Linked DNA regions of Lepisosteus oculatus. The protein of the gene in region 2 interacts with the protein of the main gene of each other region in a pairwise test. Links are inferred from orthologs where the notes say so. Each region holds a gene or a part of one and is shown on either strand. Other genes may lie near its edges. The genes, in order: bend3, morn4 and septin6.

Region 1 (11,149 bases), on a different chromosome or scaffold from region 2:
CCACTGCTGAAGACGTGGAATGACTGAACTGGGATTCAGGAAAACTGCCTGACTGGTGTTCTTCCCACTTACCTCTGCTGAAACTTTCTGTCTTTTTACGCTGGTGGGCTGTTCTTGCTCACTGCTCGGGCTGTCTACAACAATCTGGGTGTTGGCCCTCTTGCCCGTCGTCTCCACACTGCTGCACAGCACCTTCTCCATGCTGCCTTCAGGTGTATTGCAGCCTGCGGACCACTCGATAGCTGCCTCTTCCATGAGTCTCTCCATTTTCACACAGCGCAGGGGTCTTCTTTCTGCCGAGAAGCACGCAAACACAGTCATTCTTTTCCTCAGTGGGCAGTACCTGAACACGGGGCTATTTCAGCATTAAAGAACTGCTTCTGTTTTAGGGACCATGTTTTATCATCTATAGGTTTTGGACCTTAAAGTTTAACATGATAAAACTATGAGCGCTTGATGCATCACAAGGAATATGTTTTGCCTGGGTATAGCAGAAAACGTGATTAGAAAACAGGAGGAACAATAGTCCTTCACAGCCATGATCCTTCTGCTGTATATACAGAGCAGGCCGTTTGCAAGAATCACTTTGTCCCTTTTTTGGCTCATTAGGTGTCCCTGCTCTTGATGATCATATTTCATCATATTGGTCACTTACGTTCATAGCATGCATTCCTATAGAGTGGTATAGAATTACGTTACATTGCTCTGTCCACTCAAGTATTAGCGCGCGCTGTATCGTAGTACGTAGGCTGCGTATTCGATACATCTTAAAATAGAAAATATGAAAACCCGTCCCGATTTTTCAGCGCACACAACACAGTTCCAGGGTCATGTGGCGTACCACCTGGCGGCACTCCACGTACCACTGCAGGTAGGTGTACCACAGTTTGAGAACCACTGGTTTAGACAATAACACACTTAGGTCATTTGGTGCAAAACCAATTATTGGTCTGGCATATTAATATAAGAGTCTTGCAAACAGTAATGTTACATGCAACACTCAAAGCATAACATCATCATTATTTTCAAACTACTCAAATAATTCCACAAAATAACCGGCAAACTTGAAGTGAACAAATTCATCCGAAATGTCAGATTAAAAATACTGTTCCTACAAGCAGTTATGCAAAGATTTAAGTCTTTTAAATGAAGTTTAAAATTTATGAAAGCACTGCAGCTAAAGATTTTAAGGTACAGTATGAGGGTGCAAGTCAGAGCCTGGACAGAGGAGATCCCAGTTTCATTGAAATGATTTAAACAGGGGGCTGCATGGTGGTTAGCCTCACAGCTCTAGGGTCCTGGGTTCGATTCCAAACCGGAGCACCTTCGGTGTGGAGTTGGCATCTTCTCCCATGTTTGTGAGTGGCTGCACTGAGTAAGTGCCAGTTTCCTCCCACTGGCCAGACATGGGGGATAATTAACTGGTGTCTCTGAAGCCGGCGTCACACTACATGACTCGACACGACTTCTAGTCGGAGAGCATGTCAAATTTCACGACTGCAGTTGCTGAATCTCGCTGCCTTTTCTATCCTAGAGGGAGTCAAATTATCCGACCAGGAATCGCGGGTTGTGACTAATTCCAAGATTCCCTTGCAACTTTTTGTCACGGTTCCAAATCTCGTATTGTGCCACAAAATTACCGCGAGGTCGCCTCATTTTGGCAGCCAAACAATGTGGAGCACACCGGAATAAGAGGAGGGGCACCGCACAAACAACACGGAGGACAAGCACGTAAAGATCTTGAAAAAATGTAACATCGTAACATCAACTTATCATACGCAGAGTCTTAGGGGCTGTTAAGTGCTATGACTGAGTTGCTGGGGGTGTCGCACTACACAACTGATGGTAACGGGTGCGTACTGCAACTCTACAACTCGCTGTGATTTTCTTAGAATTCTGTAAATGAAGGCTACGACTGGAAATCCTAAGAAAAGTCATGTAGTGTGACGCCGGCATTATCCGCCTCTCTGAGTCCGAGTACCCTAAGATGAACTGGAATCCTGTGCGGGGTGTTACCTTGCACACACCCTTGGCTTCAAGGAGTGGCCTTCTGATAATGGACGGATTTCAAAAGTTTTTTTTATTATAATGAGGATCTATCCCCAAGGATTTAATTTAAATCCTACCCATGCTTTTCGTCAAATCTCTTGACAAACAAGGATGTGTATCCCCACAAGCTGTGGTTTGAATGATGAATCCTTATGCAGTAGCCGGTCCTTGTATTGTAGATTATTTGCATTGTTTCTATTGGTAGCACTGAAACACCTACAGCACACAGGCCTTCAGTCTTGTCACGCGACAGGGTCAGATGATGAACATGCTTACCTGTCTCTGATGCCTCACCATCTGACGTCTCCCCATGCTCAGAACAGTTCATGACCTAAAATGACATCAACCACAAACGCACAACACTGAATCACAGTTCGCCTACAGAACTTTACTGACATTGAACTACGTACTGTAGTCCCTTTCATCTTAATCATCATCACCAATGTGATCAAGGTTTCAGGCCTTTTGTAAAACCACATTCATGTACTTCTCACTTATGACATAACAGTACTGGTGTTATGCAGGCTAGAATCCTAAATTCCACTTTCATGTTGTATTTATGTATGAACTTAGGCCGAAAAATAACATTCAATGGTGAGAACTAGCTGAGCCTATTTTGTGTGTTAATCATATGCATTTCATTTTGGTGTGGTTCTGAGGATCTAAAACAATATCTATGATACCATGGCCTTATAGATGAATCTATAAAAATAGTGAGGCACAGGTAAAGGTTTATTCCATGCTGAAGGGAACATTGTTGTGTCTTCTTCAGGTGTCACCTGAAGAAGGCTTCACAGCCGAAATATTGTGTCTCTTTTCTTTACAGCATGGAATAAACCTTCAGTTTCTTGAGTTATGTTATGTGCTTATTTATTCCGCAGTAGAAATGCCAGAAATTTCAAATTTCTTTCATATTTAACTTTCTCTGTTAAGGCCTTCAGAATATGCCCACAAATGCCCGTGGCAGATCTTTACTGGACTCAATTTTTGAAGATGGTAACAACAAAGACCTAAGAGATACTACAATAGTTCTGTAACCCTAAGCCAATTCTCTTCAATCACGGGTTACACACAGCACATGGTTTTAGTTTTAAAGATTTCTTTATTTATACACATTTTATGATTTCTCTCTCCCTGAACTCAAAGTATTTCGTAGTACTGCACAATATAATCCAAGAAAACACAAATATGTCAAAAGCAGATTTGCAAACAGAATGTCGGTTACACTTGGACTACTGTCATTCTTAAACATAATTTTTATATGTTCCAGAATGAGAATTTATTTCAATTATGACTAACTCCCCCTAAACTGCCAACACAAAATGGTGCATCTCAATGTAAGTCTTCATCATGGTGAATTTCAATATTTGGGTTTATTTCGTACGTGACCTCTGTCTTTAAAAACACAAAAATAAGCAGCATTAAAATTTTCAGCTGTTTTTTTGTGGACTGCGGGTAATTTGGCACGCAATGAGCCTATGGAATCATAACAAAAATATCGCACCTGTTAATAGTAACAAAAGGATACAATACAACAGTTCTTGCCCATTACAGAAATAAACCGGTTCACATTTGTCTGCAAAGCCTACTTTCACAGCTCAAAGTTTGACAACTCAGCTGGCATAGAATTTGATAATTATATTGTTGGAGTTGATTGTATGAACGTGTTTTACAAGGTAATTTATTACAGTAGGAAAAATACCGTTATCCTCGTAAGCACGGTATTATAATTCTTTGACCTAACAAATATAGTTAATTGCAACGTATGTTTTTAGTACAGGAGTGTTTAACGAGCTTTTTGCTAATGTTCATTATACAGTTTGGTAACTGTAAGCTTAAGTCATGTGCTTGTGCTTCTGTTTTGAATTTAAAATATTTTTTGACATTTTAAGCATATCAAAACATGATGTCGGCTGCTTAAACACGAACAAAAAAGGATATTTATAACATGTTCTTCAAGTTAAGATTTGCGATATATTATGCACAGATCCCCTAAACCCAGAAATCGGTCATAAATGTGACCTTTTTCCTCTAGTTACTCTTATTTAAATGTTATGAAGGGCTCCCCAACTGAAACATGACCCTTTGCAGCACCAGTACGTTCTATTCTGTACTGGCGCTGCAGTAAGCGGATCTCCTCAGCAGAGCCGTGGAGGCGCTGTGACTCCACTCACACGCACACAGATGAAACTCGCCAGACTCCAGACCACTCCACTTCCTCATTCTTCCACTAGCAACCCACGAACCGCAACAACCCGAGAGGGATATCCTCTCATCGCACTTTTTTCATATTTTCTACGACATAAAACTTGGGATACAGATGTTCCAGAGCACGATCCGTACCCAAAACGACAGTGCAGAAGCCCACCCCACGCCCACTTGGTCTTTTTTTGTTGTTGGGTTCTGTTTTAATAATGGAATTCTCTTTGCGTGACGCGGCAGGAAAAAGATCTACGGGCGAGTTTTTTCCCCTCTTTGATTTATTGCACAGCGCTAAAGCATTGAGTAGTTCCGAACTCACCTTCGAACACTGGCGTAGCCTGCAAACTAATAAATTCGGCGAGCATGTCCGATTCCTCGCATCACGGTATATTTTTTACACGCCTGAGTGTCGTCCGTGTTACTGTCCGCCGTGTTTTTCTTGTCTGTGCCCTCTCGAGTGACGTGACGGCACTCGCCTGCTGTGTCATTTCCGCACAGCTGTGGGTTACTGTGGGCAAGCCAAAGTTCTGGTCACGTTTGCGTGTGGGAAAGAATAAGGATGCTGAGTAAAAAATGTACATTTTTGTTCTTTTTTGGTTTTGTTGCATATCGTTTCGATATAGTGACACGCCAAATATGTATTTTTCACATTTCTCTGAATAGTTGATGCAGAAGTTGTTTTCATTCATGAGATAATCTGACTCAAAAATTGATATTTGCCATCACTTCATGTCTGAGCATCATGCAGCGTGCGTTCAGCTGTGTTTGCAGAGAGGAAGACATCACTTGGGGGAAATCCCTGTCATTTTGACAGTGCTTACGCGTTTGGAAAGATAAGATGTATATTTCAACTATTTGGAACGACTTTTTTACAACAGGTGTTCTGCCTTTCTTGACACGGAACTGATTTAGCGGGAAATGTCTTACCTCTCTTGTCAAGCTGAAAATTACTCTAAAATCATTTACGGGCGTCTTAAGACGCTGGGGTTTTGTATTTTTCTTATTATCCACGCACATCTTTCTTTTTGAGTCGTCTTGTTTAAAATATATCATCCAAATACTATAGTTAAATTATAGAACTAGAATGGCTTGCACATCGAGACTTGTATATGGAATAACAACTAAAAGTAAAAGTAATTAGTCTACATTGTGGCTGCGGAAAAGGAAAATCTAGACTCCATGTGACAATGTAGGTTCCTCTTCATAACATAACCCGAGATTGTGTGTGTTTGTTTATGCACTACAGTAGGTGATCTTTTCAGGTTTTTAACATACCAAGGTAATATCTTAGTATAGGTTATAAGTGTCAGTCTGTATTTAAATCCTAGATCTTCAGAATGGATTCTTCAGCCTATACTGTATTACTCCTGTATATTGAATATTTTAGTATACCATATCCTTGTTATCAAACGCACAAATAAAAGAAACCTTATTTGAATTTTAGACACAGCTGACTGAAATATGCATATCAAAGCAAAACTGTGATTTGGCGATAGTGTATTGCCTGTGGGTGTACATATTTGTTAAATAAAAAGAGTTAGCCACAGAACGTGACCAGATCAACATGAGTTAACAGCTGAGAGGTGATAATGGCTGTAGTGCACAAAACAAGACCCTGCCATTTTTCTTTCTTTTCGGAACCAAGTCAAAGTGGGGATTCCAGGCAGGCCAGTCTCCCTCCACACAGCACAGTGTAATTTGAGCTGCTCTGCCTGTCATAGTCTTCCATTCAACATTCTGCCATTCTGGCATACAAAGAGAATGATAGACTGATGGTATCTACAGTAAGTCAATTGAATTTGATCATGAACAGTAACTCAAACCTGATGAATCAAATGATGCTTGCAATATTAATTATGTAGCATAAACATGCATTTTCTTATTAGTTATGAATAACATTAGTGGTCTTATTTGAATTTTGGCCTGGTGTTACAATTTCTTATTCATACAGTAAATATGGAACAGTGCTTGTTTTATTTCAGAGCAAGATACTTTGTGACTGCTGTACAGTTTCTCGGTTGTTTTTTTTCTCCACCGGAAAACCTAGTTCCTTGAAGTGGAGAATGAATCCCACGCCATAGACAAGACCCAATTTTTGGAGATATGTTGCATTTATCTTGGTCTTTTTTTAGCTCAGTTTGTCTTGTTCAACTATGCTGCAGTGCCCTCCAAAAGTATTGCAGAAGCAAAGTCAAAACTTATTTTTGTCTTACAGTCAATACATTTGTACTTTTAATAATGATATTAATGTGAATAATATGTACAAGATAGTATCCATTTTACTTTTGGGTAATTTCATATAAACATTTAGTAATATTAGAACAAAAGCATACTTCACATTCATCCCAATGATTTCAATAAACCTTTAGATTGGGGTCACAATAACTTCAAATTTTAAAATTCAAAGTGTTAAAGTAGTCCAATTAGTTTTGAAGAGCATTGTAAGTTAAAAAGATATGAAAATTAGTTAGTTATAGATGCACTGTAACAGACTATGATCAGAAAAACATAGGCACATTAAAATCAAATAAACAATCACAAATAATTAGATAGCTCACAACATTGTGGTAAAGCACATTAGTTTGATTTGTTGGTTGGTTTATTTTCCATATGTATTATATAATATAAATAAGATAATACCATAGTGGTAGATTTCTGTCAGACAGTTATGTCAATATTACAAAAGCAATTTGTATTGAGAAGGCTGGGCTTTGTAAAAATATATTGACATACTGGAATGAGCTCATGAAGGCACTTCATGGTAGGTCCCTTCATTGTTAGAATTTCCTCTTCTGTTTTCGTGTTCCCAATTTATTTAATTCACCATTCTCCCACTCCTCTCTCCCACACAACTACACATCTGCATTTTTGTATTCCTATGTTAGGAATAAAGCAAGAGAGCACCATAGTATAGTAATGCCTAAGTGTCTGTCATCCATTTGTCCCTTTAATCATACGTCTAAATCACACTATGATTTCAACCTCAGATAAACACATCCTTTTTCTTCAATCCCATTTTCTTGTAACGGCCTCAGCAAGGAGAGACAGTAGTGGTTTAATCGTTTCTCATACTCAAAGGGATTTTCAGAGTCCATCATCCCCAGCATCCACTTGGGTTGCTTTGCTAGGTGTCAGTCTGTTTTAGGCTGCACGCTGAATTATAAGATCACTTTATTGGCCATATATAATTCCTTGCATGAGGAATTTGACTATTTGCATACCCCGTCTTGCTCTCCATGAGATACACAGACAGGGAGAGAGAAGCTTGTGGTCAGAGCACTGGGTCAGCCATTTTTACGGTGCCCCTGGAGCAGTTGGGGTTAAGGGCCTTGCTCAAGGACCCAACAGAGCAGGATTCCTCTGCCGCCTGTGGGAGTTGAACCAGCAACCTTCCAGCCACAGGCACAGATCCTTAGCCAAAGTGCCACCGCTCCGCACATGGCTAAGGAATTGGCAGGAATCCTATGACAAATGGTTCTCCCTGGCGCTACCCAGCCAAGTCAGTCAATACCTACTGTAAGTGTCATGTAAGAAAAATTTTCAGGTCATGTATTTGTATATGTTATGTTATATGGTAGTGAGAAGCTGTCACTTTCTCGTAGTATATAAATTGGTGTTTTTCTTCCTAAATGAAGAACAATCAAGCTTATTATAGATTTTTGTAAATCTGAACTGAATCCTGACTTTAATGAATTGCCACAGGAAATAGCTACAATAATGTGATAAACAGCCTTCCTTCAGTTTATACATTTTGTATGATTTGCTAAGCTTTTCCCAGAAAGAAATCTCACCCATTGGTTTTCTGTAGAGAATCCTAATGTTGACTTTAGCTAAAGTTTGGGATAATGACAACAAATCAGTCTCACCCAGCTGTTCTAAACCATAATGATTCCCAACATTAACTGTACAGTATATCTATCTAACCCAAACATCTCTTTTTGCACTTTGTCTCATGCATCCCTCCTATACCCCATCTCCACCTTTGCAGCTCCCCCTTACTGTACATAGCATGAGGGTCACAGCCTCCTTGACCTATGACCAAGCAGGTTAGGCCAAAACTAACTGTTACTCAGAAAACACTTACATAGTATCTGATTTTTGGAAGTTGTTATTCCTTGTGAACGTGTTTTCAAAAGGCAGTGGTGTGACTAGTAAGAAGGTTGACCTGCTTCAGGGAGGATTGAGAAGACCATAAGGATAATATATTGAAATCTGATCCCTAATGCTAAGTACATAAAAACACAAGGAAGATTACGAATGAGAGGCAGCAATTCAGAGCATTTAGGATATTTGCTTAGCTGCTAGTAGCTGATCTGAGGATCTTATCCCTCTGTTTCCTGAAAGGTGCCAGGGAATCAGCTTCAGTGACATACTGGGTATCAGGTACCAAACTCCCACAACCCTCTGCATGCAGACATTCCTTCTGTTCTCAGTCTTCATTCCTCTTCAGCCTAGAGTCACATGTCCTGAAGAAATCCACTGACTAACTTCCTCAGTGCCTTCAAGGAATCTGAGCAATTGAGTCCTCTTGTAGTCTTCTCTGTACAAGACAAAAAAAAAGATTCAATACCTTTAGCCAATTAGTTTAATATATATATTAAGTCAAATTATATGGTATAATTAGTCATTCTTATCTGTACTGATTCAAGGGAGGCAATGTATGTTTTGAAATAAAGATGCCACAACTGTACACAAAATTCTAAATTAGGTCTTACTAATAGATCGTAACTCCCATTGATTTAAATTCTACACTTCTCTCTGTACATGTTAACATTTATGTTGCTTTTATAGTGCTCCCCCTTCTTTGCCAAGTGGAGAAAAATGGTGCATCAGCAAAATCACAGAGGTTTCAAAACATGATTAGACCTTCGTTTCCTCTCACTGCTCCCTGCAGTGCACAAAAGTTTGTGAAAAAGCTAATGCAAGTTTAAGTGGCACCTTCATGAGAAACTTAGTGGTTATAATTTGAAGAGCAAGCACAGTTGGATCCATTATGGTATAAATCCTGTATTTGTCCTTTTTAAGACTTCAGGAATAATAAAAGTTTGTCTATTCATAAGGGGTAAAGATAAATTAAATTAAACAGAGGCATTTACCGGAGGAAACCCACTCGTAGCTCTGTGTTTGAGATTGCACGGGAGCAGATGTGAACTGATGAATATCTCAGTGGGTAGATAAATGGTTCAGAGAACCGAAGTCAGCAGCAACTATATCACATAAAGTGGTAGGCAAATGTCTCCATCTGGTGGACAGAGAAGTCACAGTTCATGCTAGCAGAGCAAGAATATAAATTTAAACTGAGAACATTTGGAATACAGGCAAAATAAATAATTTGTAGTAGGAGATACACACAAATATCCTGTGGAAATCAAATACGGGAAATATTCTAAAATCAAGTTTATTTAATGGGTTCACTAATACAACAGAAATACAGAACTGTCAGCAGTCACTTGGTATGAAGCATTAGCACAGCAATTTGTTTTGCTGTGATGAAAATGTGTTCTGATGTGTTGTCGTGCAGAATGATTTTCAAACAGCATTATACATGGATCTATGAAGGAATAAATATGAAGCAGTAGATGCATTTAATATCACATGCTTTAGAAGATTTGTGCAACACCTTTGATAGAAATAATATTTACACACTAAATATATTTACACTAATATTACAGCACATTTCACAGCATTAATGGCCTGGCTGCACCTACACACTCCCCTCTAGGAAGCAGGTCAATGACAATCCTTTCGGCATCAGCACGGCCCACTAGACATCCTGACCATGGAAAGAAGGACCAGGGAAATATGTCTTTATCCAGCAGTGATTCGGCTGTAAAATCTGTAGCTGCTTATTTCCTGGTGATTTTGCTGTGATGGTTGGAATGGATTTTAACACATACTGTATGAACCTCCTGTGAAGTTTAGCAGGCATTTGGTTCTGCTTCTGTGGTTGTCTTTGATCTTCTCAGCATTACTGAACGTTTTTCCCTTCTACGCAACAGTATATAAGACCAACTTCAATTAGCCATTGACTACTGGGGGCAAACCCAACAGGGTGCCAATACTTTTTTTCAAGTGATTCACCACAGGCGAACTTCACCGGCAAGCCTGTGAAGTGCACACAGCCATTTCTATCTAATTATTCGGCACTCATTGAGATCAAATGCAGCACGAGATAGAGGTGCATCAACTGCAGTAGCTCTGCTAGGTACATTTGAGAATCTCTAAGCAGAAAAGTACCAATTCATTAGAAAGCCAGCAAATAATTATTAGCAATGGAATTAGGAGGAGAATCTTCCATCACACCGTGGATTCGAAATAACAAAAAGGTAAATAAGAGTTTATCAGCATACAAAAGTGTCACCCCATGATTTACAATGATAAACAATCTGATCAAAAGCAACAGAACTTTTTCCGCGTACGGCGCTAAGTTCCTTGGATATGACTTTATTTTTAGTGGAAATCAAACAAAGCGAATTGGATTTTTACAAGTAACTAGCAAGATACATAAGTACTTTAAAAAGAGCAGCAACTCATTTTAATGGGGGTTAAGAGTAGCAGAACCATTACTCAGTTAATGGTCTGTTTCAGTGCCAGCAGAGGTAGCAGCATCCAGATACTTCAACTGATGAGGCATGAAACACGCCAGGTACAGGGAGACGGAAATTACACTGATGAAGCTCCATGTTCAAATGCTTGTCATCCGACTCAATGATTAAACGCATATTAATTACATTTAATACAAATATACTATATAATCTAGATTGCGACACATTTATAGATGCTTGTGGCATTTCTCCATATCGCCTCCTTACAGAACAAGTAAGGGGTTAATTCCACGCTGAAAAATGGAAAGGAGAAACACAACATTGTGGGTGTAGAGCTTTCTTCAGGTGTCACA
Region 2 (10,727 bases):
AGGTTTGCAACATCTGGAAACGATCAATCAATAGCCATCCTAAGTCGAAAGTGCTCACATGAGGGTGAAGAGTAATACCACTCAAGACACTAGTAATGGTGTGGTCCTTTCTTAGCAACAAGACAAACCTGGCACAGATCACCTGAGTGAGCTCAGCAGGGATCCTTGTGTTAGAAAAACAACCAAGTCCTGAAGGTACTATGGGGCCATTTGGCAGTGTTGGACGAGTCTGTCCCTTTGCATTTCTTGTGGGTTACAGGTCCTGGGGTTTTGTCAAGGCAAGTGTGAGCTGTATATTCTTCCTCTGGAGATGGCCAGTAATGGTAAGGATGGGCACTGTGCTGTCAACTTGGAAAACTCAATCTACCCCCACAGTGGAACAGAGCTCAATATGATGGTTGATGACACCGTCTTTGTAATACACTTGAACTTGAGAGATGCAAAGATCAATTCACCTGCCGATATGTTGCAATCCTGCCCCCTTCATGCGAATCCCACATGATGTCATATTCTAGCATGCCCAGCTGATCTAAAAGGTCTGTTGTGAGTGATCTGACTCATCAGAGATGATCATGTGTGATGTGGTGTCAACCACAGTGGTCTTACTCTACTGCCACTGTCACTGCTCATGTTTTGCGTTGTGGTTGTGCTGCATGGGTGACACATTTGGCACCCTGGAAACAGACGCATTGGCAGATCTACTAATTGAGTCAGATAACTCTTTCCACCTGACAGGTGGTTGACACTTCATCCATCCATAGAAAATGGAACTTCATATTTTGATCATATTTCAGCACCTGGAAATGTTGCCACTTAGCAAGAAAAACACTGTGATAGGAAACATTCAACTGTACCTGTATATTTCCATTCTGGAAGTACATCCCAGTTATTTTCTTTTAGTTTTCAAATTTTCCATTTAAATCATATAGCCTATTCCACACATTTGTCAGAAGCAATTATAGTGATGCCATTTCCTTTCTATAACGCTTACAAATGTCATGAACAGGAAAAAAAATCACCTGCTCAAATCAAATCTCATCATTTTCACCAAGTTTTCTAACGGTGGGGGGGCACCCAGTCCTGCTGTTACATAACTGAACATAACTGGTCTAAAAATAGGATTAATATGAGCTCTTCTCTTAACTCAACTCTTAAACATGTTGGAGGTTACCATTTACAGTACCTATTGCTTTTTGTACAGAACTAAACATCTCTAACTCTACGGGAAAAAAGAAAAACATTTACAGGGCTCCAAATCTAGTCCCCCGTTAGTTCAATGAAGGAAGGAGCTCAGCTGGATCGAAAACCCGGAGGCCAGGACTGGGAATCCCAGCAATGGTGGATTGAAAGGTATGTGTTCAGGTAAGAGGTAACATGGATTGACAGGATAAGCTGACACAGAGACATCCCTGTACACAGCATTGTGCGAGAGGGGCTTGATGGTAAAAAAAAAATTCTCTCCTAGCTAAATTAGGTTTACCATCTGTTAGTATTTAGGATTGTAACCCTTTCCCTGATCTGAAACCTCTTTAGAAGGGATTTTGTTTAGCTCAAAAATCAGCTCCTGAAAGGAATGTCAGGAATGTAAGGGCCTGTTTTCAATACAATCCAGGACACCAGCTCAGCTTTGCGGCAATCTTCCTGATCCCAGCAAGGTGAGGTACTGCACTTTTTGCACTATGTCCTGTCTTGGCTGTATTTTAATGTCTATTGTCTGAATTTATTGTCCATGTCTGTTCGTCATTTGTGATTTTTTTTCCCTTTCTCTAATGTTACTGGGTACAGCTGAATGAGTAAGCATTCCAATACACTTGTATATGGCAAATAAAGAAATCTTGAAATCTTGAAACTGGCTGATTTCTTAAAGTCCTTAGCTGCTCTCTATAGATTCCAACATGCATACACTGACAGCAAACTATGTATCCCTAATACTACTAAAAATATAAACACCAGAAACAACAAGTATGTAATAATATCAAAAGGGCATTTCATATTAAAGAACTAATCCCGAGGCCAATGTTAAAATGCAGCTTATATCTACTACATTTTAACCAGATCAAATTATTTTGTGAATATTAAGTGTTCTTAGAAGTAACTTTATTTTTATTAGTTATATCTTCTGTCATAACACCATTTTACACAGAAGAATCTGACTGAAGTGATTCTGGAAACCTTTCCAGTCCCTGCAGAAACCCTTGCACAGTGACATCAGGTTAGTCATGTTGTGTGACGTCAAGGTTTACCAGCTAATTAGGATTTAGCTTATTTCAAGGAGCTTTTGTTGTCAGTCCCTGTCCTTGAAAGCAAGAACACTAAGTACAGACAATACTAAGTTGCTACCCACAGCTAACACTGCAGCATGCACAAATCTGGGAAAGATCAGAACATACGCTGCATTGGACAGCCAGGAAATTCAAATTCCATGTCGCCTGCATTTTCTAACATTTAAGAGCACGTGCTCTTTGTTAGGTGTTGTCTGTTACAAAGAAACTCATGACATGAAGCACTTACTTCTCCCCAGCTTTGTTCTAATGGAAACACGATGCTTTTACAAACACACAAGTAAAGGCTGCCTCAGAGCGCCTGTTCCTATTCTGTTATGAATAAAGGGCAGATTACCCTTGACTGGTGAGAAGGCACAGTGACTGATGGAGCTTGACTGAAGCTAGAAGAAAGATGATTGTAAGGACTGATTTAAACTGTGAGTTATGTAAGTATCTGCTTCCAACAAGAGGCTGTTATCTTTGAAGGCTCTGTTAGGGTACGTTATTTAAGCTTTTGGGCAATGTTTTCCATCTGACAGAAAAAAAGCACATTTTACTTAGCAATCTCTAAGATCTGCAGTTACGTTCAACTTCAGGAACATGTTCTTTAAGCAGTTTTGACCACGCTCGGTTTCATGCCAACCACAAATGAACCCAATTATTCTTCTCTGTGTGAATGACAGAGAGTCCAGCACAAGAGCCCCGGTTTCTAATTCTAATAATGTTGCTATCTGTGTGGAGTTTGCATGTTCTTCTTGAGTTTTTTTTTCCCCCATGGGTTACCTCCCGTGGTTCAAAGACATAATGGTGGGTGGAAATTGACCTTGGTGTGCGTGTGTGTCTGTGTCTGCCTTGTGCCGATTTGTCATGCGGTGCAGGATGTCCTCTGCCTGTCTTGCGGGGTCAGGCTAAACCCTGGATTGGATTTAGCAGTTCGAAAATGGCTGAATGGATAAAGCATAGGGATGGGCCAAGCGAAGTAATTGCAGTTCAGACCCGGGAGCCTCTGTCCTCAAACGGAGGACGAAGACATCACCCATCCTAGACCGCCTTTCTAAAACATTTAAAGCCACCTGCCTTCTTTCCACTCGCCGTGATATTCCTCTCCGCTGGAGTAGGTGAAGGATCCTCTGGTCAGGGTCATGTCGCAGACTGCCTGTGGGGGCACACAGCAGCCAGCAGAAGAGGTTGAGTCTCAGAGACACGACGACCAGAGAAAGAACAGCTCACCCCCTCAAAGACTAGAAGCAGAGCTCTCAATTCTGAGTGGCCACACATCATATTTTCACAGGTCCTGCCACTGGCATTAGTGGGGGAGGGGGGGGCACGAATGTTAAAAATAAAGATCACTTTGCACATTTGTTTTTTTCTTTAACACGCATATTAGGAATTGCACATGCAGAAATCAAAAGAGATAGTCCTTAATCCTTTATTCAACCAAAGAAGTAAAAAAAAAGAGACGCTCTCGTCTATAATAAGGAGCCGGTGATCCATTTACGCAGTGGGGCTCTTGCACGAGCAATGTGATCAATTCACCTCATTCAAGTGAATAACACCAGTGTCCTGTTTGGGTTCAAAACCTGCAGCACTCCAGTCTGGAGTCCGGAGCCCTAATCACAAGTCCACGCTGCTGTCTAAAAAGGCTGCCCCCTGAGAGAATGGACACAGGAACTCAAAGCACTGGTGGCAACAGCTCTATGAAACTGCTCCACCACCACACCATGTCTGCGCTACATTTGTGCTGCTTGAGGAGGGAGAAGTGGGAGTCATTGTGGCACTGTTTGAAACCAGTACAGTTTCACTAAGATGGTGACAAAAGTACTAAGGACCATGCAGGGAGAACTCTAGGAAGGAATAATTTTAACTCCCTGAGGGGCCAGAAGATTAAACATACAGTACCAGCCTCAGAGAATCACAATTGTCAGTACCTTAATGTCTGTCACAAACCGGTACCACTGTCTCATCCATATACACATCAGTGCCTTAAAACAAACTCTGTGTGAGAGGAAAACAAACATATTTTCACGCTGGTACTGTATTGGGTACCATTAATCTTTTGCTGTTACAGACCAGAGAAGAACATAGGAACAGGTTTTCCTCCGATGACTCTGATGCTGCTTCCTGACGGCTGCTTTGTCTCTGAAGTCTTCCAAGCGGTCAAAGATCAGGTCTGTGAAACAACTCCCAGAGCGCTTCTGTGGGTAGCGGAGCTGCGCTGCTGCAATTGCGTTCTTGTTAAGGAACGTTACAGATTAAAATAAGAGCAATAAGAATAAACTAGTCTCGGTCATGAAGGATGCGATGCCTTCTTATTTCAACTTTAAACCGTGACTCGGGACTGTTCATGTTGATTTCACCATTAAATCGAGCGCAAATTATACTGCACCCCATTTTGCATGAGAAGCACAGCTCAGTCAAATGAATAGAGAAATCGAGTGATGTAAAGCCGAAGCAATGTAGGCATAATGGAATAAATTATTTAAGCAGGTGAATAGCTGTTCTTTCGTCTATAGTGCTATTATTGTTGGTTAAAAGATACTGACAGCTCCAGACTTAATAACCTCCGTATACGAAATGGTTACTCCTGGCATTCAGTGCACGTTTTTGTTGTATATCCCTTGAAATGTTACCACAGTAACGCAACAAAGTCATTTCCCTACGTGTCGCCGGCATATCACTTACAGTAACAGTACTAATAAACTACTTCAGCAAATTTAAACACACAGCTGCAAGATGATCCAACTGACCGTCGTTACTGCGTGATAAGATAAACAAATTATTTACCTGTTTTATGATCTTGGGACTTCAGAAGCACATAAATCCACCAATTTTATATTTACAATTCAGGCAATGGTGCAATATAACTGCTATACAGTACACCCTGTGACGAAAATTAGGCTCTCCTGACCCCGCCCCCTCTAGCGGCGAGGCTTCACGCTCTTCCTAAAGTCTCACTGTCCCATTGTCCGTTTTGCGTTACTTTGCATTTAAAGCGAATCCTGATTGGCTGGATTGTTTCCTTCTGAGGTCTGATAGCTGACATTTTTGTTAGGGGCATCACACAGCCGTGCCTGTGGATTTAATTAATAGGGATATGTTTGGTCGTGGCTTTTGCGCAGAGGCATTAATTATGGGATTCGTTTTTAATTACGTTGTGAAACTTTATATATCTATCTAGTGATTAGATATTTCTTTATTTTCATTCAGGTTAAGCAACCGCTAAACATTCAGTTGGCGTATGGCAGTTTTGCAAGGTTCTCTGAAAACGTTTCAGGTATATATATATATTAAATTAACTAAATTCATTCAGTATGCTGTATGAATTTAGCACAGAGTCGGATGTATTTTCATCTACAGATGTCTTTTTTTTAGTGACGAAATGAGTACTTTCGATTTCTGCATACCCCGATTTCTTCTGCCTTACAGATGTAGTTAGTTTGTAATCTAGCTGCTCCACAAAGGTCAGGACTCACCGCCTCTCTGCTTCCGCAGGAGTGAATACAATAAATGTCTTCTATCTCATCAAGATGCACCTACATTACAACCGCGGTAGCACCCAAGCTTTTATCACTTGAACTACTTCAGATCTTCGAATGATATATGGACGTGTGAAGGGTTGCATACAGCCATAAAGTAAAGCAAACGGTAAAGTATGGGAGAATTATACTGTGGGTCGCACAGACGTAGTAAATCCGCAAGGAGAAGATTGCAGAATTGTAGCTTTGGTATTTACAGTAGGCAAAGCACAGAAGCGGTCAAAGGCAAACGCGCTACTTGGATGCATAGCAAAGAGTGACATACTGTACTGTATTAGATAGCTGGGAGTTACCTGTGCCTGGAAGAGATTTTCAATGCAAATGCAGTGCCCTACCTGGAATCTGAAATCAGAACCTTGCAGTTATGAGCCTGGATCCCTAACCACTCCTGCACATGCTGTCTGATTTTTATTTTAATATAAATTTAAAATGAAACACCAAATAGATATACTGAATTTCCTTGTACATTTCACTTATCATTTACTTCATGACTTAATGTGCTGAATGGGTCTTACTTAAACTTGAACTTGAACTTGAACTTTATTGCCATATGTAACCGGTACTGGTACAATGGAATTCTTACTTACAGAAAGTCTCTCGATTGTAAAACAAGTGTAAAAAAACAAAACAAGTGCAAACAGTGCATCAAGACAATGTACAAACAAACAATAGACAATGTGCAAGTAAACATGCAGGCAGTTTGAATGTAAACAATACAGACGTGTAAACAATGACTGGAGACGTACAATAAATAAATTACAATGAGGTAGATGGTGATGGGTGTGGTCCGAGGGGGATGGCTAAATGTGTTCGCCAGTCTCACTGCTTGTGGATAGAAGCTATTGAAGAATCTAGTGGTAAGTGTCCGTATGCTCTTATATCTCTTGCCTGAGGGCAGTGGGGTGAAGAGCTCATGCCCAGGGTGGTGACTGTCCTCTGTGATGGCCAGAATTCTACCACGGCAGCGGTCCTCATAGAGCTGTTTAATCTCGGTGAGACCGCAGCCGATGATCTTCTGGGCCATATTGACCATTCTCTGCAGTGCCTTTCTTTCTCGCGAAGAGGTGTTGCCATACCACACGGTGATCCCGTTGGTGAGGACGCTCTCGATAGTGCAGCGGTAGAAGTTCACCAACACATGTATTGGCATCCCCCATCGCTTGAGGCGCCTCAAGAAATAAAGGCGCTGCTGAGCCTTCTTCATGATAGAGTCAGTGTTCACAGTCCAGGTTAGATCTTTAGAGATGTGAATTCCCAAAAACCTAAAGCTGGTGACTGTTTCCACTTCCGTTCCATCAATACTGAGTGGGCTGTGAGTGTGTGGCCTTTGTAATACTTACAAAGTATTACAAAGCCGAATAGTGTTTTTTAGTAAAATATATGCATTTAGACCACTAGATTGAGTTAGGTTGAAAGGGAGATAAATGTGTGTTGTTCAATGCTCTAAAGTCCATCGCCTGTTCTTTCTGTGGTCTTGGTTTACAAACATCAAAAGTTTTTTTCACAGGCTGTTTTTGCTTATAATAGCAAGGGTGATCTCAAAATAAACTGAGATCCAAGAAGCACAACTGTACTGCTGCACAGGGATCAAAATGAGGTGTAGATATTGCAAAGGGCATAGTAAGAAGCAAATCTTACATTATCAGGGAAATCTTTTTTAACAACTGTACTGACATGTTTTAAAACAGACATTGCAGTGGAAGATTCATATTTGTCATCAATGGGTTTACTGTGAAAGTCACAGGCTGGTAGCATGTGTGCACACTGCTGGAAGCAATACAGGGTGTATATCTAAAGCACATATGACACACTAGGTTACAGATGCTGTCTTATAGGACTCTGTCCCTTTCCTCTCCTACAGTCTGGACAAGCAGGTGTCTGTTCACTGATCTCTGAGTCCTAGATGCCTCATGTCAGCTCATCCCACAGCTGCTCAATAAGTCCCAAGTCTAACGACTAGGGTATCCTTGTTGTGGCTCGTCTTGCAAGGAAGCTGTTGTTTGACAAAGAGAATATTATCGTGCTGGACTTTGTCACATCAGCTGCATGAGAGAAGGCAGTGAGGTCATGAAGTTCCCTGTGAACAGGTTGCATTCCATTGCTACAAGTGGAGATCTGTAGGGAAAGGAGTTTCCAACCCAGACCATCACACTTGAACCAAACCATCAGCCCATTGACAATAAAAGGTTGCGCATTGTTCTACACATGTATCACCCCTGTCAAGTCCACCTCAGGTGACTTAGTCCAGTCTCTAGCATACTGATGGCATGAAGGCATTAATCTCTTAAATTCAGAATATTAGTTCCTTTTGACATCTCTGTTCTTGAGTTTCACTGGACTTGACATTCAACAAGTTAAGCCACCTTTATGCCTGTTCAATGCCCACTAATGAGGTGATTCAGTGCTCATGCAACAGTAGATGTCACTCTAGCATATCAAGATCGAGTGATCTATTAATCAAAATGGTGCAAAAACATTAAGTTTGTCTAAAAACAAATAGAAATAAGTAATGAATTAATTTTGATAGGCAGTTTAGTGTATGAACCTTTTCCTCCAATAAACCTCTAGCAAGACATCATGGAAACTGTCTTCAACCCACAGTTTTTGTTAATGTTAATATAGTTCAATTCTATATGTGTGTAGATTTTACGTCGCCAAGTTTAGTACCCATGGTGCATTTTCATTAATCAGGATACTTAATCTTTTTGCACTGCCGTTTTATCCGATGTTCATATATAAGGATTCCTTATATATGAAAGTTTTTCACTTTAACTCCCATCTAATACAGTTTATAGAGTGTAGAGGGTTTTGATTTAAAGCGCTCCGTTATATTGAAAATGCGCTGTTTAGTAAGCGGCAATGGGTTGAATGAAATTCGTACAGTAGTACTTTATTAAAGTTACGATTGTAGTAATTTATGGAGAGCCATAAAAATATAACATGAGTTTCCTAAAAGCCAAATTCGGGCTTGAGGAATTAATCTATTAAAAATGACCACAATGCGGTCTCATCAAATTCAAGTAACACTCGCACCGCTACATTGTAATTGCCCTTGACAGTGTCCCAGAATCTCCTCCGACGGGACAGGGATCCCCTTAATTAAATTACGCGCACGCGTGCAAGGCCGGGAATATGGGCTGCCTTCCAGTTTTAATCACGCGTCACTTTTCATCCATCAAGAATATTAAGCTTTTATTTTTTGGGGGGCGGCGGAGGCGAGTAGAAGATGCCGCAGCAGAAAACTCCACCCCTAGACACAGCACACACACAAAAAAGGGCCGTGGCGATGACGTGCACGCTGGGACGCACCCAGCAAAACGTGCGCGGCGGCGGGTGGGGCCGGTAGAAAATGGCGAGTCTGTGTAAGAGGCAGCAATGCACGCTCGAGAGACGCGGCTTTCGGCAGGAACTTGACTCGTGGCGGCATAAACTTATTCACTGTGTAGGTAAGCTCGTTTCACATTGCATGCAGGACCGGACGCGGCGCCCGGGACTCCGGGGTTTGGAAAAATATACTTTGTTTCTCTCGTAGTCCCAACGCAAAAAAATTCTGTTTCTAACCGTCGGGAGCAGCACGGAGCGGCTTTTTTTTTTGTCTAGTGCAGCTCTTCCGTCAAGAGAGCCTGCCTCCCTCCGTTCCGGTCGCCAGATTCTGGCTGTGAAATGCGTTATACTGCCTATATAGTGGAAGTGTCCGTACGGTACGGGGCGTCCTGTAGGCAGAATTCGTTTGCTCCCTGGTTATATTATCTATCTCTTTATTGCTAGGTAACAAAGATATATCAGGCTTTGTTTTCCTGTTTATTTTACGGAGGGTGTATCACGTGAACGGCGCTGCTTCCTTTAAGCCAATGAGATCGGGGCTCCCGGGCGCGTGCTCCTCTGCGTTTTTTCTTGTTTTCTTCTGTGGGGGGAGGGGGAGGCGCGCGCTCCCGGCAGCCCCGGGTTCTGCTGCTGAGGTCGGTGCCGCGCGCTCCCTGGCTGCCCTCGAGTCGGCCCCGGGGGCGCGCATTGCTGCAATGGGGGGAATCGCTCAGAAAAATTTGCTGTATTTTATATTTTGGCAAGCCGGGGAAGATGTCGGTTAAATTATATTTAAAGGTCAGGCGCACTAGACGTTTTAAGTTCGCGCGACACGTGCAGTAGCTTGCTGAAAATGTCTTGGTCAGTAGTTACAATTATATATATATATTCTAAATGTAATACAGCATATTTATTTTTATCTTCTTTAAACATTTTGCTTAATTTCTTTGGAAGTCCTTTGCTTATTTTCTGATGCACAGGGGCTTTATGTGTTACATCTGTGGAGTATTCCACAAGCTTTTTTGCAATGCATATTTTAGTTCAGTGCTGTAATTTTACAGACGTCAAATTTCGGTTGTCTTCCAAATGTTCACATTTGAAATGTCGCCCTTCTCCGGGCTACCCTCCCCCATTTCGAATGTTTCTTGATGCTAATCCATTTAAATCGGTATATTTGGTGTTACTGGGAGATCAGGATTCACTTCACGGTGATCTCTTATCCCAAAGGGCTCGCTTCGTCCAAACTGCATTAATCATTTTCCCTGCTAACCTATCTCTGTAGGTACAGTCGATATTCCCTGCTTAGTTAAATCGGTGCCTTGTTTTCACTTGCCGGTATTTGTTCTGAGGCGTTAGACGTGACATGGGTTTTGTTTGACAGAATACGTGGTAAAACAAATTCTTAAATGTTCGTTTGACAACTTTTTTTAAGCGGCCGAAAATATTGCGTTTATAAGAGAGATTTTAAACAGATTTTGCAGTTACGCACTTCAATTTGCTTGCGAGATGAGACAGTAGAAGCTCTGTTCTTAAGCGGTTTTAATTGACATTTTGTACTCCTTTGAATTTTGTTTCATCTGAGCATGTGTGACTTTCTCGTAATTCAATCCACTTATCGCAGTTG
Region 3 (11,241 bases), on a different chromosome or scaffold from region 2:
ATGGAAACAGTCCTGGGTTTACCTGGTTTAAGCCCTTCACAAGAATGACACTGGTACAGAGTCGGACTCACCCACGCAGAGGATGTTGAAGCAGAAGCCATGATTGACGGACTTGTTGACCAGCTGGTCAGGCATGCTGTCAAAGCCCACATGGCCGGACAGGGGGATGGACCGTGCACCTTCTCCCTGAAGGAAACACACACAGTTAGCTCAGACAGGACGCTGCAAATGCAGCTCAACTTAGGCACCCCTCATTACAAAATCAGGGAATGAAAACAGAATTTGACAACTTCATTTCTTAACATGAACATTTTTACATGAAAGTGAGAAAGCATACAGAATTTCATTAGCAATATATACTTAATCAAATATAGAATCACCGGTTATTTTTCAGACTTAATTTGGAAGAGACGTGCTTTTCAAATCTCGATTCACGGGTGTGAAACCTGCGACCGCACACTGGGGAAGAAAATGAGGAAGTGTGGGCTCTGACTCGCTCGCCTGAGAGCCACACGGCTTCCACCACCTCACAGGTGGTAAGAGGAGCCCCTCACTGATTGCCCTGCACGAATGCAAGCACCTGGGGGGCCACAGGGGGCGCTGTGTCACAGAGCACCAAGAGAGCAATCCAACCCAAACCTCAGAAGTGCTCAGCCAACAGCAGTCAGCTAGTGTCATGATGCAGTCACGAATCTCAGCACTAACGCTGGTCAGATGGACGTTAGCTGGATCACAGTTCGCTGCAAACCTTTAAAAATCACACCAGTACAGCAATAAGATCTGTCTGTTCCCTTTATTCTTAGGCAACAAAAGACACCCTATCTCTCATAACTTCACAAATTCACAAATTTATCAGGAAAATAAAAATAAACTTTTTATATACAGTAGCTCCTTTAAAGGTGGCTGCTCAAAGCACAAATTGATCTTTTTTGTAGCAGGAACACTGTCATGTGTTTGAAATGCCATGACATAACGTAAATTCAACATCCAGGTGAACACTTCTCATCAGCTAGGCTGGTTAACCGTCTGCTGTGAGACTCACAGACGAGGAGTATGTGACGTCTGCTGGCACCAATGCAAGCTGTGTACCTGTGATTCCTCTGGCCCATTCCTCTCATGCAGTCTGGACAAGCATGTGTTCACTGCTCACACAGATGTCTCACATCATCACAACGGATCCCACAAATGTTCAATGAGCCTCAGGTTGAACACGTCACAGCATAACTGTCACATTTGCATCTTGTTGTTCAATATATTCTTTCAATCAGCTTTCTACAAACTAAGAGTCTAGACCTCTGCAATAACCTGGACCAGCTTCTTAATGCTCACGAACAGAACGAGCATGCGCTATAAACTGCGCGTGCCTGGTTGGTAAAAACTCAAGGAACATTTTCAGGCGGTGAAGCGTGTTTCACTGAAGCTCTCTGCAACACTGGAAACTTGGACTGTGACGGGAGGAGTGCCGTTCCAGGACAGGTCTCTCAGGAAGTAGCCCCAGCTCATCAAAGCACACCCCCACACAGGGCCCGAGGCGAAGAGCTTTCCCAGAAACACACTGGAACATCAACTGCACATACACGTCCAGGCTGAGTCCTTTGGCTTGTTTTTCGTGCAGCCGAGGTGCTGATTTTCGCTCGGGGTGGATGAGAGATCTATCAGGGCCAGTCCCAGGCGTGAAACTCCTGGCGGAGTGACATGCGCAAGAGCACGCCGACCGCCTGCTTGAGCGCAGGGATGGGGCAGGAAGGCCCGTTGCACCGCAGCTTCTGGTCACCCCCCCCCGCCTCAAGCTCGCAGCCTCCATCGGTGCTGCCGTCTCATACCGTACAAGGTGCTCCAGTGGCAGCCTGGCTGTTGTCTGCTGCTCACTTCCTGTTTCCTGTCTGTTAACCTCGTTGAGAATTCGAGCTGCTGAGGCAGCCTGCCAAACCGCAATTTACATATCCGGAAAGTCCTGAATGTTCACGGCTACTTCATCTTCCGCAGAAAACGTTCCACGAGAGGACCCGCAGGACACAGGCCCCCCAGGACGGGCGGACAGAGCAGACGCCATTACAGGGTCCCGAAAGCCGAGCGGGGCTGGGACCGAGCGTTCTCCTGTCCCGCGTCTCCAGCTGGACACACAAACAGAGGGGAGAGCGCGGCACGCTCGACTGCTCGCACCTGCAAGCGGGAATCCACAACAAGCACAGACACCTCGAAGGTTAGCAAGACTTGAACAGAGGGCCATGCCTGTTACAACAGCTTTGGCGAGTACTGGGCTTTCATTCAACGCTGCGTTTAAGATGCCATGGTACAAGTCTCTAATTGCCAAAGTGTAAAAGATATCCCATCTATCAGATATGCTCACAAAAAAGAATCTTCCTTAACACCTCAATCACAGCGGGAGACTGCAGGGCCTGACCCTCAGTCGAGACGGCTAGAACGTTTCGCACACTCCAGTGTGTGTCAATACAGTACTAGAGCCAGCAGTGAGCACAACTACTGCTCTCTTTCCATGCAGACGCCAGTCCCAATACTCAGTACTCAAGACCCCTGGGAAACCAGTCTGTCTCACACACCCACCGAGGGCACACAGTTCAAACTCGGCCTCCTGATCACCCAGGACAGCTCCCTCTGCCACTCAGGAGTGGGGAGGCACAGACAGGCACGACACTTCAGTCACCAGCTATTCTGTGCTAACCTGCACTCCCCCAACCAGGGGGCCTAGATACCCACTGAAGAAAAAAACCCTGAGTGGACACGGGTAACAGAACATTTCTGTGTCCAATTTATTCTTCTGTCTCAGACAGCACTGAAAGGTCTTCGAGTATCAATAACAACAGGCTGAATTGTAACTTTTAAGGAATAAAGTTATTGTTTATGTGTCATCACAAGAAATGTTGTGCTGCACACTGGTGGTGGTGGAGGGGATCCCCATTACCTGTAAAGCGCTTTGAGGGGAGTGTCCAGAAAAGCGCTATATAAGTGTAAACAATTATTATTATTATTATTATTATTATTATTAGTCTTACTAGACAGCATTGCCATTCAAAAACAACAAGATTTTGATTGAAAGACTGTCAGCAGTAAAGCAACAGTATTTAAGGCTATAGATCATGCAAAGCAGAAAACTGAACTGACTAATCAGTCAACAGTCCAGCAAACAGCATTGTAAAACATTTCTTGTGTGGTTCAATGTTAATCAAAAAAGAAGGGATTTAAAACGGTTGTGAAACATCATGATCAGCACATATGACACTACTATACACCGTTTAAAACTGGGCACTGATGTCTTATATTCGCAATTTGATCAAAAGATGACTACAGCAAATGCAAAGCAAATTAAAATAAAGATAGTTATTGTAGACACAAATCTATGGAACCAGACACAAACCCCTCTGAGCAGACAATCAGGAATTATAATGGGATACAATCAAGTAAAACCATTCAAAGGCATACATGATTAAGAATTCAGTAAAAAAAACTATTCAAACCTTTAAGGTTCCCAAAATACATCAACAAAGTTTTTTTGTTTGTTTCAGGTGGAGTTTTACTGTGGCTCGTCAAATCGAACATGAAAGAACATCTTCACTACTCCGCCACTTTTACAGAGGTGGCAAGCAAGCGTGACTACGCCAACTCCAACAGGCCGGTCTCAGACATGCCATCAGGGGAGAAGAGCTTCCTCACACACAAACGGCCCTGGCAGTGGGAGGCCATGTGTTTAAACTCAACAGCACCCCCAGGTCACCAAGGCCTGCTGCGGAAACCACCCGGGCAGCCCGGGCGAGTCCTGTATAGTCCTGATCTGTGGGTGCCCATCTGCACTGACACCTGGGCCTCAGCAATCTAAATAAACCGGCCTTGGGGTCCTACATAAAGTGAAGACACGGGGGGGAAAAAATATCTTTAAATCTGAACGCACGGCGCAAAAACGAGTGTCGTTTCCTCCGCTCAGTGTTTCCGAGCTGGCGTGCAGCTGGCGAGCCCTGCGAACCAGGCGCTCCAGAGTCAATTTACTGTATCCGGCCCCTTCGCTCATCTGCAACAGTGTTGCCTTCTTCTCCGGCCATCGCCGGGAAACTCTCCCGCACACCTTTCCACAACTAAAAAAAGCACGAAACCCACCGACGCATCCGTCGTTGTTGTTGTTGTTGGGTTGTTTTTTTTTTGGTCGCTTAGCTTTAATCCGCTTGAGTTAATTGAATTACAGTACGGCAGATAAGACTACGCCCAGCCAGCCAATGAGACAGGCGGCCGCAGGACCGTTCAATAGCGGAATCGGGCATGATCGTCCCACACCGATGTCGGACAAGACTGTTCTAATTTTTCGTCTGTGTGTACATCCACGGACGTGTGCAACGAAAACGAAACGCGCATTATAACACACCTGAAATATTCGCCGAGCCGATAGGAAGATACCGGTTTTATATAGCGGCTGATCTTATCCACATGAAAAAAAAAAACAAACAATCGCATGGTTTATCGATTAAGAATAAAACCAAAACCCGTTCAAACCCATCACTAAAAACACACGACAGACATATCATTCACCGGGATTAAGATGCGAGGAGTTGTTGTTGTTTTTTTTTTACCAGCCTCTACTGGAAGAAAAAATATAACGTTTCCCTTTCCGTGACTCGCTACACTGGAGAATAAATGAGGGGCTGACGGTGTCTGGCGCTACAGCCCGCGACCGGTAACCTCGCACCCCGGCCGTGCAGGGCGTGCAGACGGTGGGTTTCGGACCGGCTCTGCCTCCCCGGGCAGACAGCAGCGCTGGAGCCCCGGGGCTAGAGACACTCACCGCTTGCCGAGCGATCTCCGTGGCCGCCATGGCTGCAGCGTCTCGCAGTGTCGCCGAACAGGAAGCAGCGCGGAGCCGCGAGCGCGGGGCGGCCCAAGGGCGGTGCCACAGCGGGGGCCGCGCCGCCCCCGTCACACCGGCCGCCCCGGCCCCGCCGCACGCCCCGGCCGGAACATGGCCCCTCCTCCCGCCAACGTCCAACACGCAAAGAAAAAAAGCGATCTTTGATCATCCCCTTTTCATCGGTGAGATTTTAATCCGCTGTCTTCCCTGCGTCCCCCCCCTTCCAATTCCCCCCCCAAATGGTTCGTTCTGCTGTGATGAGGTGGGGAACAGGCCCTGAAGTTTAAAAATTCACGCCTTTGCGTCCCAGGCGGGTGAAAGAAAAGTGCGTGTTAGCGCTGCCTTGCCTCATGCACACCGCCTTGCGTGTAACTGTTCGGGAGCTCGGCTGCCATTAGGGTTTTTGACATCATTTGTTCGCGTATGTAAATAACACAGCACAACGGGCGTTCTAACAGACCTTTACACCAGCGGAGAAACGTGTGTACAAATTCAGGAGTTCCTGTTCCCATGAAGTTTCTCTGTATTAAATAGTTTCTCTGTATTTGTTTGGAGCATGTTGTGGATAATGAGTTTTTGGCCATTTATTCCTACGCCGCCGGACCCCTCCGCCTGACCTAGAATACAGTATTGCGCAGACAACACGCGTGCGTCGCAGGACCGTCCCAGACCGCCTCGCCTGAGGGGCACCTCTGCTGGAAGAGCAGGAAACGGTCTTCTGGGCCTAGGGAAAGCGAACTGTTGCTGGGGATAGGAACCTTCCGTTGTTGTTCTATTTTCCGTCATATGTGTATTTTAATATGTACGTTAATCATTAGAGAACATATCAGAAATCCCACCAAACTCCGTTTCGCTCTCTGCAATCAATTAAGAACGACTCCAGCAGCACCGGGGCGGGTTCTGGCTTCTGCCCGAGGTTCTGACGTGCGTGCCGTCCAAATCCTTCTCTGTTGCAGCGGTTGCCAGTCCTGGACCGGGGGACGCCCGTGTCTGCTGCCGCCGCTGTGCCTCCTGGGCTCTTCATCACCAGTAAGGCTGGCGTCCATAACAGACACCGTTGACCCCTGCCTGCTGGTCTGGACGTTTTGTGTTCTGCACAGTTTTAAATTTGAGAAATACCCCCTGTTGAATCGTGTTATTTCCAACATCTTCATCCTCGACTTGCTGAAGAAAACGTTGCTTTACCAGAAGGGGTGTGGGAGACTGGAGCTCCTTTCAAGGAAAGGCTGGATGAGGCCCTCGGATACATTATCTAGTAAAACCCCAACGGCTGCTGCAGTAGTGTGACCCGAATGACCTCCACTGTCTTGTTATGCTCTTGTGTTATAGCGTTTCTTTATGTTCTAGCTCAATAAACAGCGCGTGTGTGCGAATCATGAACACGTCTTGCCGATATATGGATAAACCAGGATTAAGAGAAACAAACCAGGTGTCTGACATCACCGCCTCCGCCTGTGGATGAGCTCTATTCAGCACGCGACTAGGGGGGCAGATACAGACAGGACCTGGGAAGCTGACGTCTGCGAGATGCCAAGACTCAAGAGTGTAAATCAGCAGGAAATGCGATCATTCTCAAGTTCTCAGGAAGCTTATCAGTGGACTAGAGAAGGAAGCGCCGGAGGGGTTTCTCGTGTTTTGATCCACGCTAGAGAATCCTGCCTATTTACGTACCCCCTAATTGGGAAACGCCCTCCTATCCGAACAATTGACCGTACCGTCCCGCAGTTAGAGATTCGAGCAAAGTGAACACGCCGAGATCTGCTGTGGACTTCGGGCGCACGTCGAGACGGCGCAGCCCACCTCGCCCACCTGCCTAGTTCCGTGTCGCGTTTTCAGTTTGCGCGATCAAACCTTTCCTGCCTCTGACTTGCACTTGGTAACTCAACCTCATTGGCCGGCGGCACCTTCATACAGGAGACAAGAAGAGTGTGTATATGAACAACAGGGTGTGCAGTATTTTCAAATATTTACACAAGACATTTACGGGTCTATTTTTGTACTTTCCTGTGTTCCTTAGCGATTTATCATTTTAGTAAAGACATAGTATTTAGGAAAAGCGCAAACGTAGTCCTAAAAAACTACTTTTTCCCCCCATTTTTTTTTAACGATTTCACCTGTTAACAAGAATAAGTGAACTAGGAAAAGTTGGAGGATATCTTTGAAATCTGATGCCAGGTCTTGGTGTCGACAAATGTGTAGGAACCCGCTCTCCCAGTCTTGATAATAACCCCCTCAGAGAAGACACGCAGCACACAGCAGTGAAAAGTGACACCGAACCGCGCTGTGCCGTTTCTTGCTCACACGGCCGCAGCACCGCCTATTGCAGGAGCTACTGCGACTTATAGTGACACAGCCGTGCTGTGGGGCCTGAGTGCTTGTTTCACCGGTAACACAGAACTGCGGATAATTGTTCCCGGGGCGCTTTCCGGGACAAACCGCCCACCCCCGTGCTGGCAGGGAACCCGGGAGTGAAGTACTCACTCCGGGCTCACACCCAGAAAGCCAAAGAGGTGCAATGAAAGCCGCACTCACGCGTGCAATCCTGAAGGTGCCCCAGAGTCCGTGGCAAAGACAAAAAAATTTAGCCATAGCGTCGACAGGCGAATGGCCATGGCTTACGAACGCCTCCTCTTTACCTCGATCTCATTTCAATTAAAATATTTCCGGGCCGCCCCAGTCAAAGGCACTGAAAAAAAACGCTCCCCCAGCATAATTACCATTATTTTCCTGGCGGGACAATGATCCTGAGATTACCCCGACGGGGGTTAAAAGGAGAAAAGCAACGTCACTGCCTTTCCCTGTGGTTTAAAAGGAATTCGGCTTCCTCAGGCTTGGCAAGACTTGGGAAAGATCTTTTACAGGTTTAGCACACTGAAGACAGCTATGAAGATTAGCTATGACGCTAATTGCATCGTTTTAGAAACTTCCATGCGATTTAAACACGATTGGTCTCGAGGTGCAACTTCTGAAACACTGCAGCAAGAGAATGCGTTCACAGACACTCCAAGAGGAATTATTTATTCTGCAATATTACGTAGGTTTCCAGTATGCCCGTATTGCCCAGTTGCTTGTAATCTTGTTGCAGAATATTACGTAAACAAACTGACTGTCGAGTATAAACAGAGCTACGACGTGCTGTTCTCTTTACTTTCGCTTCGAAAAGCTTCACTGTTCAGGGCAGATTTGTGGTGTGCGGACTCTCTGCTCCCTTAGGACTGCTAGAGGTATCCATACCTATCGAAAACAAAGTATACTTTATCTTTCTTCATGAGTAACATATTAAAAGTGATCGTGGCGGGGGAATACTGATAGACGTGTGTCGCGGCTTGCATACTGCTGGTTCAGTAGTGGCGCAGGATTAAATCTGAACTTTGTTAGCAGCGGTGGGGTGAAAGCGGGGGGGGGGCGGAGAAGGAGGGGTGAGACCTGACCTTCTTGAAAGAGGAGAAGCGATTTCGGTTTGAGAGTATTCTAAGCTTCCGCGGAATGGAGAGTCTTAAACCAGGCTATTTCCTTGAAGGATCTGGCATTTGAGGATTTTCAGCGATAAAAGCTGGGAGAATACCGCCCGGGCAACCGAACTGCGGGTTTGCGTAAAGATCTTCCAAGGAGATAAACGCGCACAGGTGACGAGGAAAGGTACATTGTTACAGACGTTGAACTACTTTAAAGAATATAAGAACCGCTCAGTAACCTGCGGAATGAAAACCGAATAGGTGCGTAGTTTTACCCCATATGTCAGCAAGGAAAAGGGTCGTGCAGACAAATCGGTTTTTACTGAGGCACAAACCAGAAACCTCAATGCATTTCCGTGGGTTTGGGTAAGGGCGTAGCGCCTTTAAACATCACACGTCTCAAGCCCACGGAGCGCAACGAACTCTTCTTGTGCTTTGTTTTTCCTCTCGCAAATTTGGTAGTTTATCTTAAGACCAGCAGCGGAAACACGAGATACCCGAGAAAGAGGAACAGTTAAATGGGTGGCGCTCTCTGTGTCTTTTAAGATCACACATTCGGAGAGGGCAGTGGGACGATCACAGCACACCAGGTGAGTCTAATATCAATCTATAGATAGGTGTTATGGACTAGCGCACATTGACGAATGCAACAGCCACCGCGAAATTTGCTCTCTCGTCGGTTTCACTTTGTTTGGAGTCTGGGTTCAGGACGAGTACAACAGGAAAAATAATTTCAGAAAGCTGCCCTGGGAACTGCTTTTCTCACTGTTGTTCATTTCCCTAAGGGGCCCGGGCAAATACTCGCGCCGGGGATGAGAACTTCGATGTCTGGAATTTAAAACCCTCTTATCCGTCAGAAGAGCACTTGATCGAGGAAGAGGAGGAGAAATTCCTCAGCAATGGGCGACAGCGCCGGCGTCTCCGAACCGCCAGGGACGGTCAGCCCGGGCGCTCATTTAGATGCGTATCAGGCAGCCGCAGCTTCGCCGCCGGTGCAGGAGGAAGAGGAGGAGGGGGGGGAGGAAGGGTCTAGATGCGCAGCCGCGGGTGCCAGCGACGGGGGCCCCCCGATTCCCAGAGCCGCCTGGCGGGCGGCCGGAGGCACCGGGAGCCGGGAGGAGCGCGCGCCCCGGCTGAGCGCGAGAGCCTGCGGGTACGCCTCCGCGCGCAGGGCGAAGCTGCAGAGGCAGCCGGAGGTGAGCGAGACCGACGGCGCCCCGTGCGCGTCCCTCACCCCGGCCATGAGGAAGAAATACTTAAAGGAGCTGTTCCTGCACAACGGTCTGCACAACGGCCTGGGCAGCATACTGGTCTCGTCGCAGAGCTCCAGCGCTGCCGGGGACTGCGGGGATGAGGCCGCCCAGCCCAGCACCGAGGACGGCAACCTGACCAGGACATTCTGGGCCCTGGATCCGGTGGAGCACGCCTGGATGCTGTCGGTCGTGGACGGGAATTACGACACCATCGTGGAGTTCCTCTCGGAGGACCCGAGCCTGCTGACCAGAAAGGATTTTGTCTCCGGGTTCACGGTCATGCACTGGCTCGCCAAGCACGGCAAAGACGAGACGCTGATAAAGGTGATGAGGTACGCGGAAAGCCGGGGGCTGCCGGTGAACATTGACGTGAGAGCCAGCGGGGGGCTCACCCCGCTCCACGTGGCTGCCATGCACGGGCGGCACATGGTGGTCAAGATCCTGGTGGGCGCCTACAGCGCCAGCGTGGACGCCATGGACCACGGCGGCCGGAGAGCCTGGCAGTACCTGAGGGGGGACGCGCCCGCGGAGATGAGGGAGCTGCTGGGGGCCATGGACGAGCAGGGCTGGGCTCTTGGGCCCCTGAACACGAACAACAACAGCGCCGACGCACTGAGCCGGGCGGAGCCGGAGGCCCCGGGCCGGAAGGGCCAGCTCGGCGGGTTCGCGTCGTTCAAGAGGATGCTGAGCCCCCTGCTGTCGTTTGTCAGCAGAAGCAGCAGGGAACCGCTGGGAACGGCGCAATGAGCGCGGGGGGGCCCCACCCGCGTGAACAGGACGAGAAGGGGCTTTTGAGTTGTGCTTGAAGCCTGGTTTTCATGTCCGTGACCGAACCAGTCCTCCAGGTGCGTCTGAAGCTTTTCCAATGGGATCTGCGCGCCGGCCCAGCGCCACATCGGATAAAAGAGAGGTTGTGTTCCTGGACGCTGCAACGCTGGTCGGCGCGTTAGAGAAACGGCGAGGACAGTCGATCATCCGTTCGGAATGTTCCGATCGCAGTGTTTCGTGTGAAGGGATCAATAAGCACATGGCTGCTTCCTGAATGCGTTGATCATTAATCAGACCGGGATTTTTTTTTTTGCTCTGTCAGTATTTGTCTCTCATTTTTTGGATAACCTGGTGCACTTTACTGTAACACCAAATATACTTTTGTATATAAAACCCTTTAATATTTCTGAACCCCAGGTGTGGAACGTATTTTAAAGAAAGTGATTTCACGGTACTGTCTCTATTTTAGAGACAGCCAGGGCAAACTGCGAGTTTTTCCTCTCAGAAAACTATTTTCAATTGAGTAGCTGGCTCAGAACAATTGTATCCTAGTTAAGACTAGTTCGTTTGTTTATCTAAATAAACATAAGAATTCTTTCAGATAAGCCAAAATTAATTTGTAAAGAAATATTCATACATAGTTCTCAGCAGAAAAAAAAACGAAGGAGCAGAAACTTTTCGGATTGTTTTATGTATCTCGACTTCCCACTGCACGCGCTGCACTCTGTCGGTATGAAAGGGGAACAGGAAATATTCAAATCCAAACCACCCAGCTGCTTTGAGTTGTGCAGTTTTGAGCCGATTCCGAATTACGAAAGGTCAGAAATACGAAACGAGGAAGCCGATTTCTTATTTGTTGCACCAATGGCGCAACGTCCGTCCACGATTCAACTCGGCTCACAAAACTCCTCGC

What was found.
Region 1: the proteins of morn4 (region 2) and bend3 interact in binary tests that used the Homo sapiens proteins (3 or more experiments, as listed by UniProt). The two-hybrid records come from large-scale screens. The link is inferred for Lepisosteus oculatus from reciprocal best matches to the Homo sapiens genes MORN4 and BEND3.
Region 3: the proteins of morn4 (region 2) and septin6 interact in binary tests that used the Homo sapiens proteins (3 or more experiments, as listed by UniProt). The two-hybrid records come from large-scale screens. The link is inferred for Lepisosteus oculatus from reciprocal best matches to the Homo sapiens genes MORN4 and SEPTIN6.

Annotation. Positions count from the first base shown.
Region 1 is NC_090697.1:34,478,511-34,489,659, reverse strand, and holds the start of bend3 (BEN domain-containing protein 3), read right to left. Parts: upstream 4,709-11,149; 5' UTR 4,571-4,708; intron 2,381-4,570; 5' UTR 2,378-2,380; coding exon 2,326-2,377; intron 294-2,325; coding exon 73-293; intron 1-72. UniProt on the Homo sapiens protein: Transcriptional repressor which associates with the NoRC (nucleolar remodeling complex) complex and plays a key role in repressing rDNA transcription.
Region 2 is NC_090699.1:44,156,048-44,166,774, forward strand, and holds the start of morn4 (MORN repeat-containing protein 4), read right to left. Parts: upstream 5,158-10,727; 5' UTR 5,049-5,157; intron 4,821-5,048; exon of another isoform or gene 4,335-4,820; intron 3,421-4,334; 5' UTR 3,409-3,420; coding exon 3,342-3,408; intron 1-3,341. Other genes in the region: lcor (streptococcal hemagglutinin), read left to right, coding at 9,150-9,246. UniProt on the Homo sapiens protein: Plays a role in promoting axonal degeneration following neuronal injury by toxic insult or trauma.
Region 3 is NC_090703.1:50,240,411-50,251,651, forward strand, and holds the start of septin6 (septin-6), read right to left. Parts: upstream 4,898-11,241; 5' UTR 4,820-4,897; coding exon 4,790-4,819; intron 187-4,789; coding exon 72-186; intron 1-71. Other genes in the region: ankyrin repeat domain-containing protein SOWAHD, read left to right, coding at 9,207-10,307. UniProt on the Homo sapiens protein: Filament-forming cytoskeletal GTPase. Required for normal organization of the actin cytoskeleton. Involved in cytokinesis. May play a role in HCV RNA replication.